2 linked regions of the Macaca fascicularis genome follow. The protein of the gene in region 2 purifies or fractionates together with the protein of the main gene of each other region. This does not show direct contact. Links are inferred from orthologs where the notes say so. Each region holds a gene or a part of one and is shown on either strand. Other genes may lie near its edges.

Region 1 (6,144 bases), on a different chromosome or scaffold from region 2:
GAGACCAAAAATGTTGCTTTCTTAATGCACACATGAGGCAGGAAATCTTTCATGAAGGGCTACGTTGTACCTGTGCCTCTCAAGTCACCAGAAGGCCAAGCTGCGGGTCAAAACTGTGGGAAAAACACTTTCTTCCTGTTGGCGGTTCCATTCTATTATTATTTTTTTAATTGAACTTCCCACTTGTCTGATTTTTCCTTGGACAGAACAGGTAATAACTGAATGTAGAATCCAGCTGATAGCCTTATTGGCTTTTAATTGGAAACCCATTATACTATGGGGAGCAGTTAGAAAGTGAGAATAACCCCATTCTGAGGCCGAGCATTCTCAGGGTGAAGAGCCAGCAGGAGTGCCTGCTGTGCGTGTGTGGTGTGCAGTGTGTGCAGCAGTGTGTCCTGTGTGTAGCAGTGTGGCGTGCGATGTGTGTGATGTATGCAGTGTGCAGCATGGAGCTGGCCCCTGTGCACACCCCTGCAGCCTTGTGGAAGAAGGTAGCGCTGGCTCAGTCAAATGAGAGGAAGAGTTTTCATAAGCCCTGCTGGTGACTAAAACGTGTTTTGGCTTTGTTTATTTTATGGTGTTGGTGTTGGTATTGGTGGTCATGTACTGGCATGTAAGATTTCTTTTCTCTTTCCCTCTTCTCTCTGCTTCTACATTCTGTTCATTGAGACTTCCAACTGAATATGAGAGGAACGGGAGATATGAGGGCTCAAGGTGAGGGAAATGATTTTTACTTAAAATTTTTTCCAGATGTTTACTTCATTTCTGTGGCAGAGGCAACACTATCTTCTGAATGTTCCCTACTGTATTCCTGCTGTCTCTACTGTATTCCTGCTGTCTCCGTAGGAGTTAGAGGTTCGCATCAGGTCGAGAGGGTGGCCACGGGGGGGCGCCAGCCTGCCATGAGCACCGTCCGGATCCAGCTTGGCCTCTGCTCTATATTTGTGTTTGTGTTAAAAGCATGGCAATGCCTTCAGCCTTCCTGCCTGGGCGTTAACAGCCTTTGGAGGTCTGGGTTGGGTAGCAGTGCTCAGAGAAATAAGCCCTCAGTTAATCACTGACTCCTCACATGGTTCTCTTCACAAGGAATAAAAGCAAAGTACTTAATAGAATATCCATATTTCGAACTAGTTATGTTTTCTTCTAAGAATGGTGATTATATAGTTGAGTGTTTTGCTTTTCTTTTTTTTTTTTTTTTCTGAGACAGGGTCTCGCTTTGTCACCCAGGCTGGAGTGTAGTGGCACGATCATAGCTTGGGCTCCTGGGCTTATGCAGTCCTCCCACCTCAGCCTCCTGAGTATCTGGAACCACAGGCACTACCACCATGCTGGCTAATTTTTGTATTTTTTTGTAGAGAGGGGGTCTCGCCATGTTGGCCAGGCTGGTCTCAAACTCCTAGGCTCAGGTGAACCTCCCACCTTGACCTTCCAAAGTGCTGGGATGACAGACATGAGCTGCTGCGCCTGGCCTTGCTTTTCCATTTTGTGTAGTTATCATTGCATGGATTTACAGGGGGGCCAGTCACCAGGTAATCTTAGGACTCTGTGTCCGTAGTTCTAGATCTCTTCCACTTCTGCCCTTTTTTATGCCAGTCACCAGCAGGCTATTTCAGGTCCTCATTCACCATTTGTCTTTTAGGTCTTTTTAAAAGCCCACTTCTGGTCATATGACCTCTGAATTAAAACTTTCAGTGACCTCCACTATTTCACCCGGCCACATCCCTGCGAGGCCCTGAGTGGCGTGGTCCAGGCTGCCCCAGCAGCCCAGCTCCGCTGCCCCATCAAGGCGGAGCATTGGGGTGAGTGCCAGGCAGCATTCCCCCTCCAGGCCTGCCCATCCCAGCCAGTAGCAGGCTCTAGATCCTGGTTTGTTTCCCCACCCATAATAGGAAGGTGAGATAATAGGGCCTACATGGACATCAAGTAAGTTGGGGCCTGACCACCACAAGTACTCATTAAGTGCCACCAGCTGTTGTGGGGGTGATGACACTGTGCCTCCAGTTCCACTCAGTCTGTGTACTTTATTATGCCACAGACACATCCTGTACTTTCCTACCTCCCCTTTGGCTGTGATCCCCTGTACTCAAAACAAAAACTCTTTCCTGTCTTCATTGCATTTTGTTGAAATCCCATGGCTCTTCATAGCTCTCCTCAGATGCAGGCCCACTCCCACCCGTGCCATTTCCTGCTTGTCTCATCCTGCCTGTCACACTCTCCTGTCACACTGCTAGGTGGGCTCCACCTCTTCTGCAGCCCTCTAGGGGATGGCCAGCCTTTCCTGTGCTGCCACTGTTGCCTCACCTTACAGTCTTCCTGGCTCCAGATTAGTTTGAGAGCTTTTGCTTATCTTTGTAACCCATTTAGTATCTAATGTGGCATTTTATACATAGGAAGCTTCTCATCAGTATTGGTGGATGTGAACCAAATTGAACACTAGCAGGTTGGTGACACGGAGAGCTATGTGCATATGTAAAAACTGTAGCCCCTCACCTCTGATTAGTTGGCCATAGGATGGAGTATACTTAAGGTACATAGACTGTTTTACTCCCAAGAGTGCTAGTCACTCACTGTCTTAATTGAGGCCACCAGATACACACATGAGAATGTAAATAACGGCTTGTGGCAATAATGACTAAATGCCAAAGAATGGCCGGTAAACCATGGTGGTCCCTAGAGACCCAGGCCTGGGCCATACTCATGCTGCGTCTTGGGCATCCAGACCAAGGCTTACATTCTGAATCCGCAGGGCATCCACATGGGTGGTGTCAGTCCTCCACAGACAGAGAAGTGTCCCATTGCATTTTTCCATCTATTCCAGTAGTAAGATTGTGTCATCTAAGATTTTTGCTTTAACTGTATAACTGGACATTTAATTAACAAACCAGAGAAGAGGAAAGACAATGAGGTGGGTAGAGCATCATGTTCAGCCTTAGGGCCGTTCACAGAGAAAGCAATTTTAGACTGCGGGTGTTGAGTCTCCAGTTACCCTGAGTGCCAGTTACAGTGATTTACATCTGAAGGAACTGTCGCAGGAGAGGGACAGCCCAGGGTGGATGGGTGAGGTGGGCAGGAACTGGCTGCCAACTCCCTCCCTGAGCTGGGCCTGCAGAGCCCTGAGTGGAGGAGTGGGGCACGCTGTCCCCTTTGCCTGATTTCCAAGGATTCTGTTTAACCAATTACTTTCTTCATTTTAGTAAGCACAGGTGGCTGGTGAAGATTTTACAGCCAGGTAGATCTTTTTGTGTGTGACTTATGACTTTTAGAGGGTGGGGGAAGAAAATAGACGAAAATAGATTTAGTTACAATTGTGAGTCTGTGCAGGAAAATGTGGAGGTCAGTCGTTAGTTGTGTTGTATTGAAGATGTGAATGAGGAACTAGCTGAAGTGTAAGAGGTTGATTTTCCTGTACGATTAAAAATAAACCTGCCTCTGTGCATTTCAGTCGCAATGTATCTGCTGAGCAAAAGGATGAAAACAAAGAAGCAAAGCCTCGATCCCTACGCTTCACCTGGAGCATGAAAACCACTAGTTCAATGGATCCCGGGGACATGATGCGGGAAATCCGCAAAGTGTTGGATGCCAATAACTGCGACTATGAGCAGAGGGAGCGCTTCTTGCTCTTCTGTGTCCACGGTGATGGGCACGCAGAGAACCTCGTGCAGTGGGAAATGGAAGTATGCAAGCTGCCAAGACTGTCTCTGAATGGGGTCCGGTTTAAGCGGATATCGGGGACATCCATAGCCTTCAAAAATATTGCTTCCAAAATTGCCAATGAGCTAAAGCTGTAACCCAGTAATTATGATGTAAATTAAGTAGCAATTAAAGTGTTTTCCTGAACACTGATGGAAATGTATAGAATAATATTTAGGCAATAACGTCTGCATCTTCTAAATCATGATATTAAAGTCTGAGGACGAGAGCACGCCTGGGAGCGAAAGCTGGCCTTTTTTCTACGAATGCACTACATTAAAGATGTGCAACCTATGCGCCCCCTGCCCTACTTCCATTGCCCTGAGAGTCAGCGTGTGGCCCCATCTCCATGTGCCTCCCGCCTGGGTGGGTGTGAGAGTGGACAGTATGTGTGTGAAGTGGTGTGTATGAAAGCATCTCCCTGCACTGCAGCCAGTCATTACTGGTGCCTCTGCAGGAGATCATGTGGTGCTAAAACATTACACTTGCCAGGGAGGAGAATACTGAGTTACTGCCAAGAATTAACCGTAAGACTAGTTCATAGTTAATACAGGTTTACAGTTCATGCCTGTGGTTTTGTGTTTGTTGTTTTGTGTTTTTTTAGTGCAAAAGGTTTAAATTTATAGTTGTGAACATTGCTTGTGTGTGTTTTTCTAAGTAGATTCACAAGATAATTAAAAATTCACTTTTTCTCAGTAAAATCTTGCATTGTCTCCTAATACTGTATTTAACACACCCTCAAGTTGAGCAAAAGGAATGTGTATGAAGGTTTGGGGTCACGTGGACCTTAGCAGGGATCCCAATGTTTTGTGATTACCAGCATATTTTTTCTCCCAAGGCAATAAAGGGAGAAGACGGCCCTCATGGTGACCCAAGAAGGAAGGGAATCCAGAGCAGCTGCAGCTTAACCCTGGGAGTTGTTGCTCAGCCCTATGGAGAAACACCAGGTCTTGACGGTTCTGGGTTGGTTCTCTGTGAAGTATGTAAATTTCTTTTTGCCTTTCTTGTGATTCACTACATGAATCAGACCTGCAGCTTTTGTCCAACACCTACATGGTTGTGTAGGGGTAATGAGCTCATCACTCATTGTGTTACTTTATTCTCACAGGGAAGTTGTCACACTGGTGTGCTATTTTGGGTTCTGGGTTTGTTGTTGGTCAGAGTATGGAAGTCTGGAGGCCGGGCACTGTGGCTTACAGATGTGAGCCCAGCACTTTGGGAGGCTGAGGCCGGAGGATCATTGAGTCCAGTAGTTCAGGACCAGCTTGGGCAACATGGCAAGACCCCATGTCTTCAAAAAATAAAAACATTGGCCAGGCGCGGTGGCTCATGTCTGTAATCCCAGCACTTTGGGAGGCTGAGACGGGCAGATCACGAGGGCAGGAGATCAAGACCATCCTGGCTAACACGGTGAAGCCCCATCTCTACTAAAAATGCAAAAAATTAGGCGGGCGTGGTGGTGGGCGCCTGTAGTCCCAGCTACTCAGGAGGCTGAGGCAGGAGAATGGCGAGAACCTGGGAGGCGGAGCTTGCAATGAGCCAAGATGGTGCCACTGCACTCCAGCCTGTGCAACGAGTGAGACGCCGTCTCAATAATAATAATAATATAGGCCGGGCGCGGTGGCTCAAGCCTGTAATCCCAGCACTTTGGGAGGCCGAGACGGGCGGATCACAAGGTCAGGAGATCGAGACCATCCTGGCTAACATGGTGAAACCCCGTCTCTACTAAAAATACAAAAACTAGCCGGGCGAGGTGGTGGGCGCCTGTAGTCCCAGCTACTCCAGAGGCTGAGGCAGGAGAATGGTGTGAACCCGGGAGGCGGAGCTTGCAGTGAGCTGAGACCCGGCCACTGCACTCCAGCCTGGGCGACAGAGCGAGACTCCGTCTCAAAAAAAAAAAAAATAATAATAATAATAATAATATAAATAAATAAATAAATACATCAACCAAGCATGGTGGCGCACCTGTGGTCCCAGCTTTTCGAGATGCTGAGGTGGGAGGCTTGAACCCGGGAGGTTGAAGCTGCAGTGAACTGTGATTGTGCACAGCACTCCAGCCTGGGCAACAGAATGAGACCCTGTCTCAAAAAAAAAAAGAAAAAGGAAAGAGAATCTGGACAGTCAATCAGTCAGAAATATTGTTGTCTGTCTCTAGAGTGGGCAAGGCACTGTTCTGATTGTTTGAGATCCTCAGTGAGCAAAACAGACCCCTCTCTCCTTGAGCCTGACTTTCTAGGCAGTGGATAAACAAGTAAATTACCTAGTATGGAGCACAGCAGCACGTGCGAGAAAGCACAGAGCAGGCACGGGGTGCATCAGCACTCTGGGTGGGAATAGGTCTCCTTGGGCAGAGCCTGGGTGGGCGCGTTCCCACAGATTTCTGGGGAAGAGCACTGCTTGGGCCTGAGGCCTGAGTGCACGGCGTGCCTGGAGCAGAGTGTGGAGATGCTGAGA
Region 2 (8,098 bases):
CATATATCGCAAACTTGTGAGAGACAACCAAATACAATATGCCAGATATATACAATTTTACAAAAACACCTAAAGGATACACAAAAGAGCATCTGTTTTAAATACACAGGCTAAGTACTACCTGTAAAAGGGATTCTTTTTTTTTCTTTTTTTTCTTTTTGAGACAAAGTCTCGCTCTGTTGCCTGGGCTGGAGTGCTATGGTGCAATCTTGGCTCACTGCAACCTCCGCCTCCTGGGTTCAAGTGATTCTCCTTGCCTCGGCCTCCCAAGCAGCTGGGATTACAGGTGACCGCTACTACTCCCAGCTAGTTTTTTTGTGTGTTTTTAGTGGAGACAGGGTTTCACTATGTTGGTCAGGCTGGTCTTGAACTCCTGACCTTGTGATCCACCTGTCTTCGCCTCCCAAAGGGCTGGGATTAGAGGTGCAAGACACTGTGACCGGCCATAGAAGGGATTTTTTTTTTTTTTTTTTTTTTGAGACAAGAGTCTCGCTCTGTTACCCAGGCTGGAGTGCAGTGGCGCAATCTCGGCTCACTGAAAGCTCCGCCTCCCAGGTTCCCGCCATTCTCCTGCCTCAGCCTCCCAAATAGCTGGGACTACAAGCGCCCGCCACAATGCCCAGCTACTTTTTTGTGTTTTCAGTAGAGACGTGGTTTCACCGTGTTAGCCGGGATGGTCTCGATCTCCTGGCCTTGTGATCCGCGCGCCTCAGCCTCCCAAAGTGCTGGGATTACAGGCGTGAGCCACTGCGCCCGGCCAGAAGGGATTTTTAACACATTACCCAGTTCTGCCTATGCATTTAAGAAGGAGAAAAACTTTATTCCATAAAGTTACTCCATTAACTGAAATGGCAATGGAAAATTACTGGCCTACAGTCAAAGAATGGGTAATCTAAATGCTTCTAAACTTATTAACAAAGTTAATTTACTACTACCTACTTTTTCCCTAACAAGACCATAGTTTTTAAAAAGTTCATTCCGCACATGCTCCCTTCCCTATTCTTCACTAACCAGCAGAATAAGCTAGCTAGAGGTGAGGCTCTGGTGTTTTAAAAGGACAGCTCTCAGCGGTGGCCTGTAATCCCAGCACTTTGGGAGGCTGAGGCGGGCGGATCACCTGAGGTCAGGAGTTCGAGATCAACCTCGTCAACATGGCAAAACCCCACCTCTACTAAAAATACAAAATTAGCCGGGTATAGTGGCAGACACCTGTAATCTTGGAGTTGAAGCAGGAGAATCGCTTGAACCCAGGAGGTGGAGGTTGCAGTGAGCCAAGATCGTGCTATTGCACTCCAGCCTGGGCAGCAAGAGCAAGACTCCACCTCAAAAAAAAAAGACAGCTCTCAGCCGGTTGCAGTGGCTCAGGCCTGTAATGTCAGCACTTTGGGAGGCCGACGTGGGCTGATCACCTAAGGTTGGGAGTTCAAGACCAGCCTGACCAACATGGAGAAACTGTGTCTCTACTAAAAAAAAAAACAAAAAAAAAAACAAAATTAGTCTGGCATGGTGTAGTCCCAGCTACTCGGGAGGGTGAGGCAGGAGAATCGCTTGAACCCGGGAGGCGGAGGGAAAAAAAAAGACAGCTCTCAAGTAAATAACACAACAGACGCATTCCTACTGAATCCAACATGACCATCAAAACTTCACCCTACCTTCCATGGAGCCAATTTGACAGGGAAGACACAAAACCAACAACTGCTCCACAAGCCCAAATGTAGTTTATGTTGCCCCTCTGCTCCCCCAAAACGGGGAAACTATTCATTTTTCCCCTCTACATTCCCCATTTTTTGTTGTTGTTGTTGCCCTGGCTGGACTGCAATGGCGTGATCTTGGCTCACTGCAATCTCGGCCTCCCAGGTTCAAGTGATTCTCCTGCCTCCGCCTCTCAAGTAGCTGGGATTACAGGCACCCACCACCCCCAGAGAATTTTGTATCTTTAGTAGAGATGGGGTTTCTCCATGTTGGTAAGGCTGGTCTTGAACTTTTGACCTCAGGTGATCTGCCCGCCTTGGCCTCAGACTTCCAAAGTACTGGGATTATAGGCATGAGCCACCGCACCTAGCCTCACTTTCTTTCTTTCTTTTTTTTTTTTATCTTTGGAGACAAGAGTCTCGCTCTGTCGCCCAGGCTGTAGTGTAATGCCACAATCTTGGCTCACTACAACCTTCACCTCCTGGGTTCGTGATTCTCCCACCTCAACCTCCTCAGTAGCTATGCACAGATAATTTGTTGGCCAGGCTGGTCTTAAACTCCCAACCTCAGGTGATCCACCCGCCTTGATCTCCCAACGTGCTGGATTACAGGCGTGAGCCACTGCGCCGGGCCTATTCCCCACTTTTTTGTACTAATTCATATATACTATTCATTTTATATTAATTCATATACATTCTCAAACAATATTTGAGAAATATTAAGAAATAATGGACTTGCTTAATACGGTTTCAAAGGACGTAAAAATGATTCCTTAGACTACTGGCTTGTTAAAGTGATGAGATGCTAGATTTAATCCTCACCTCCTGGCCCCAAACTTAAATATTTCCTGTGACATTAAAGTGTCCTTTTCCTGAATACAGCTTAGCTCTTCCTCCCGTACCATTAAATAATCCATATAAATTGATTCCAACGCCCCAGGATAGAATTAAATGAGGGTACATGTAAGTTTAGGCATTAATTCAACACAGCAAGCAAAATAAAATAGGCCTACTGCAGTTAACAGAAAGATAAAAGAGCAGCTGGAAAACCAGCATTTGGGTACAAGTATCCAACAAAGAAATCCTGCTAATATACTGTCTTACCTTCTTCCACCACCGACACCTGCTAAATTCTGTTTGGTGACCAGGACTCCGGCAACACTTCGTCCCAGAAACAAAAAAATATTGCACTCAATAAAGGAATGGACACAGGCAGAGGACACAGGTAGAAATTCCTGGTGTCTGTCTCCTTCTCCTCCTCTCCTTTCTACTGAATCCCTACCATATGCCCCAAGTCACAGGAATAGCTCCTCACCTTGCAGATTCTATTTCCTTACCCCTTTAGATCCTGAAGGGGACACCTAACATTAACAACTGTAAGGATGTGGCTTTATCAGAGTCCTATGTTCAATAACCAGTAAGGGCTCTGGTCAGAAATCTTCACCACTCACATCAAAAATATAATTATCACTAACCTGTCATTTAATTGGAAACTACAATCATAAGCTTTCAAATCGGTTTTTTAAAGGAGCTTTCAAAAAAAAGACCTTCTCTCACATCCTTTCTAGTTATCACAGCAAGTTTACTCAGAGCTCCAATGCCCACAAAACAGAAAGCATTCAAGTATAATTTGTTTCCTCCCAAGAACACTAATAGATGAAGAGGGGAACATCTGGAGATGAGGAGCGGAGGAGGAGACTTCCAATACAAGCACATCTTTATCTGTTTGATTTTTAAACACTGAAATAAAGACAAAGCTGACCTTGAGCTGCACTTCCCCACCTAATTCCCCTCCCTCTCCCAACAGGAATCTTGTTCAATACAAATAGCAATTTAACAATTTACAAGACGAAATTTAGTTTAGTATTATTCCAAATTTGACTTCTAGAGGCCTTGTCTTATTTTCAAATCCCTGAATCCTCGTTTCTGATAAGGGGGAGTAGCCCTGAGGTTATTCACATGACTAAATCTGCATTTCCAGGAAAGCAACGGCCCTACACAACATTTTGAAATACAGGTAGCTTAATCAGGAAAAATCTAAGGATCAAAGATACTTGATTCCAACCATGTCTCATCCCACCCTACCACACAAAAGCATTAAAACCACAGGACCCACATACATGACTTTTCCTTTAATACTACAGTATCGCACAATTATAAATGTGAGGGTATTTCAAAAGGTGGACTGGGAGGGAGGACTAAGAATAAACTTCCTGACAATGACTAGACAGACACAATGGATATTTCGATAAAGTTATGAAAAAGGACTGGAGAACCCGTTATGGGCAAAGGAACAACGAACAAAGAGGAACTACTAAAATTTCTACATAAACCCATTTATTTGAAATGGAAAAAAAGAAAGCAACAGGATCTCCAACCTTCATAACTCAAAAACCCCAGCCTCAGCCGAGTGCCTGGAATAGGTTAAGCTCCCCCACGAAGTACAGACCAGCATCCCGAGCCTGCAGAGTCAACCAAAATACAGTGACTGAACACTATTGGAAATAACTTTATTTCAACAGGTCTTTCCATGTGTCATGATGGTGCGCACAAACTGTAAAGTCATCGTTTTTACAAACGGGTGGACTGAGGCTCGGGCCCTACAAAGGCTCGAACTCTCAGAGTCGTGGCCTCCTGGTCTCCTGCTTCTATCCATCAGAACCCACTGGTGATGCAGTCAGAGAAAGGTTACAGGAACTTCGAGGTCTCCCGTTTTAAGTCTGAGGAAAGGGGAGGGAGTGAGGGTTTTCTGGGCCTCCCCAGCAGGCGGCGAGGAGGAAAAGCCCCAAACCCCCTCACTACGAGGTGCCGGCCCACGGGAGAGAAACCCGATCGCAGCGTCGGCGCCTGCCACCGCCCCAGACGAACCGCAGTGATTCCCGCTCACCCCTCTCCCCCCACCATCACCCGGGACTGTCCCCCGCCTCAGGCCTGAGGAAGCCCATCGCTCTGAAGGCTTCTCCTTTGTGAGACTCCACGGCCGCCGCCCCACACGGGGCCTCCGGGGAAAAGCCACCGCCCCCACCCGCCATATTTCCCTGAAAGGCGCCCGCGCTACAGCTCCCGGTCTCCGCTCTCTCCCATGTGGCGGGTGCTGCTTCCCCCGTCACCGCACCCAATTGTTCTCCACATCCCAAGACCGTCCCAGAAGCTCCCCTGAGGGCTGCTCGTTCGGAGACAGCACCCGCCATCTCCTCCCCCTCCCCCGCCCCGAGACTCGCCCTCCCCCCAGCCGCCATTTTACAACCAACTCCTCCACCCCGTCTCCCCGGCCTCCCGGCCCGCGAGTTGTTTGCAGTTAAGGACGGCGAAGGGGTCACATTCCAAGGCATACAGCCTCCCATTGCCCCGGGAGCTCCCAGGCCATTTCCTGCTTCCCGAACCCAAGCCCCCGGGCCAGGCTCGCAGACGATGCCGCCATTTTGTCTCCTGTTCCCGGCCTCTGTGGGCGGCGGCAGAGGGAACGAGAATTCCAGCCCCCCGCTGCCCCCCCAACTCACCGTCGTATCGCTCAGCCTGCTCGGCCAGCTTCGCCTGGTACACCAGATCCTCTCGATCATCCATAGCGGCAGCGGCTCCGGCAGGGTCTGCGCGACGGATGGAAGCGGATAGTGTCTCCGACTCTCTCAGCCTCTCGCTCCGCGTCCGGGCAGCAAAAATGGCGGCGCCTCAATCCGGGACTTCCGCCTGCGCACGCGGACAACTGCTCAGCTCTATGGCAACCGCTCCCTGGCAACTGGCGCGGGGGGCGGGTCCTGGAACTCGGCGCCCGAAGAGGCTGGAACCAGCGCAGGAGACGCCCCTCCTCCGTCGGCTCAGCGGGCGCCGGAGCCCAGAGGCGGGAACTGCGACTGCTGAGAGGGAGCGGCCCCCGGGGAACGGGAAGGGCTGAGGCGGGGCCGGCCGGGACTGCTCCTGAAAAAAGCCGGCGGGAAACCTGGGCCCGAGGCCCGACCTGCGGAAGAGAACGACTGAGGCGCTAACGGTTTCTGTCATGGCAGGTCTTCCTCCCCGAAAGCAGCGGCTGTCACTACCGTGTCCTGGTTTCCTTTTGTGTTTTTGTTTTTTTTTTGAGACGGAGTTTCGCTCTTGTTCCCCAGGCTGGAGTGCAGTGGTGCGATCTCGGCTCAACACAACGTCTGCCTCCCGGGTTCAAGTGATTCTCCTGCCTCAGCCTCCCGAGTAGCTGGGATTTCAGGCGCCCGCCACCAAGCCCAGCTACCTTTTGTATGTTTAATAGAGACGGGGTTTCACCATGTTGGTCAGGCTGGTCTCGAACTCCCGACTTCAAGGTGATCCGCCCACCTCGGCCTCCCAAAGCGCTGGGATTACAGGAGTGAGCCACCGCGCCCGGCCCGCGTCCTGGGTTTCTCCGCCACTCCTGGTCATGGGCCCATTTCAGACACTTTTACACTCAGGGTAACGAACTGGGCCCTGGCCGGGCGCAGTGGCTCACACCTGTAACCCCAGCACCTTGGGAGGCCAAGGCGGGCGGATCACAAGGTCAGGAGTTCGAGACCAGCCTGGCCAACATAGTGAAACCCCGTCTCTACTAAAAATACAAAAAATTAGCTGGGCGTGGTGGTACATGGCTGTAATCCCAGCTACTCAGGAGGCTAAGTCAGGAGAATCTCTTGAACCCGGGAGGCAGAGGTTACAGTGAGCTGAGATCCCCCCATTGCACTCCAGCCCAGGCGACAGTGCGAGACTGTCTCAAAAGAAAAAAATATATATATATATACACAAAAATTCGCTGGGTGTGGTGGTGCACGCCTGTAATCCCAGCTGCTTGGGAGGCTGAGGCAGGAGAATCTCTTGAACCAGGGAGTCGGAGGGTGCAGTGAACCAAGATCACACCATTGCACACCAGCCTGGGCAACAAGAGCACAACTCCATCTCAAAAAAAAAAAGAACTGGGTCCTGTTGTAGTCAGGGACAGGGGAGCTCCAGTTGTGACGCATCAACTTTCCCCTCACACTGATCTTTTTCTTCTCCTCCTATTTAACCTTTTTTCCTCCCTAGGCCCACCATGAATAGGAGCAGGGAATTTGTTAGATGAGGATGGTGTGGAGTACAGGGTACAGAAGAGTTGGACCAAGATCAAATTAAGATTGTGGAGGCAGGAATAACTCAGTGAACATCGCTTCGGTGCCTGGCACTTGGGAGGCCCATGCAGAAGGATGACTTGAGCCCAGGAGTTTGAGACCAGCCTGGGCAACATAGTAAGACCTCATGTCTACAAAAACCTTTTATTTTTATTTTTTTGAGTCGGCATCTCCTTCTGTTGCCCAGGCTGGAGTGTAGTGCTGGGATCTCAGCTCACTGCAACCTCCACCTCCTGGGATCAAGCGATTCTCCTGCCTCAGCCTCCTGAGTAGCTGGGACTACAGGCACGTGCCACCACGCCCAGCTAATTGTTTGTGTTTTTAGTAGAGATGGGGTTTCACTGTGTTAGCCAGGATGGTCTCGATCTCCGGACCTCGTGATCTGCCCGCCTAGGCCTCCCAAAGTGCTAGGATTACAGGTGTGAGCCACCACGCCCGGCCATATCTTAGCAGTTTCAGAGGCTGAAGCAGGAGGATCTCCTGAGTCCAAGAGGTTGAGGCTGCAGTGAATTGTGATTGCACCAGTGTTCACCAGCCTGGGTAACAGAGCAAAACCCTGTCTCAAAAAATAAAGTGGGGATAGGGAGGGATCTTGCCATGTTGCACAGACTGGTCTTAAACTGAGCTCAAGCAATCCCACCTTGGCCTCCCGAGTAGCTGGGAGACTACAGGCTTGCACCAACGTACCCAACTTTGCATCTTTTTTTTTTTTTTTTTTTTTGAGACGGAGTCTCGCTCTGTCGCCCAGGCTGGAGTGCAGTGGCGCAATCTCGGCTCACTGCAAGCTCCGCCTCCCGGGTTCACGCCATTCTCCTGCCTCAGCCACTCGAGTAGCTGGGACTACAGGCACCCGCCCCTGCGCCCGGCTAATTTTTTCTATTTTTAGTAGAGACGGGGTTTCACCATGGTCTCGATCTCCTGACCTTGTGATCTGCCCACCTCGGCCTCCCAAAGTGCTGGGATTACAGGCGTGAGCCACCACGCCCGGCCCTGTGCATCTTATTTTGTGGCCAAGGGAGCTGTATGATTTTGCATGGAGAATGACACCATCATAGTTATATTTCAGAAATATTAACAAATATTCCATAGCAATGATTAAAGAGGAGGATAACCAAAGATAATAGATGGGAGCAATGAAAATAGAAAGGAAAGGATAAATAGGAATGGCACTATAGAAGGAAGCCACAGGTAGCTGATCAGATTGCAGCTTTTTTTTTTTTGAGATGGAGTCTCGCTCTGTGGCCCAGGCTGGAGTGCAGTGGCACGGTCTTGACTCACTGCAACTTCTGTCTTCCGGGTTCG

Evidence for each region. Proteins that work in one complex are often made in the same cells at the same time.
Region 1: the proteins of YWHAE (region 2) and MARK3 purify together in Homo sapiens (affinity purification with mass spectrometry; 9 studies listed by BioGRID and IntAct, with this or other methods). This does not show direct contact. The link is inferred for Macaca fascicularis from reciprocal best matches to the Homo sapiens genes YWHAE and MARK3.

Annotation. Positions count from the first base shown.
Region 1 is NC_088381.1:171,673,593-171,679,736, forward strand, and holds the end of MARK3 (MAP/microtubule affinity-regulating kinase 3), read left to right. Parts: intron 1-669; coding exon 670-714; intron 715-3,442; coding exon 3,443-3,788; 3' UTR 3,789-4,391; downstream 4,392-6,144. UniProt on the Homo sapiens protein: Serine/threonine-protein kinase. Involved in the specific phosphorylation of microtubule-associated proteins for MAP2 and MAP4. Phosphorylates the microtubule-associated protein MAPT/TAU. Phosphorylates CDC25C on 'Ser-216'.
Region 2 is NC_088390.1:1,502,926-1,511,023, forward strand, and holds the start of YWHAE (14-3-3 protein epsilon), read right to left. Parts: upstream 5,368-8,098; 5' UTR 5,256-5,367; coding exon 5,192-5,255; intron 1-5,191. UniProt on the Homo sapiens protein: Adapter protein implicated in the regulation of a large spectrum of both general and specialized signaling pathways. Binds to a large number of partners, usually by recognition of a phosphoserine or phosphothreonine motif.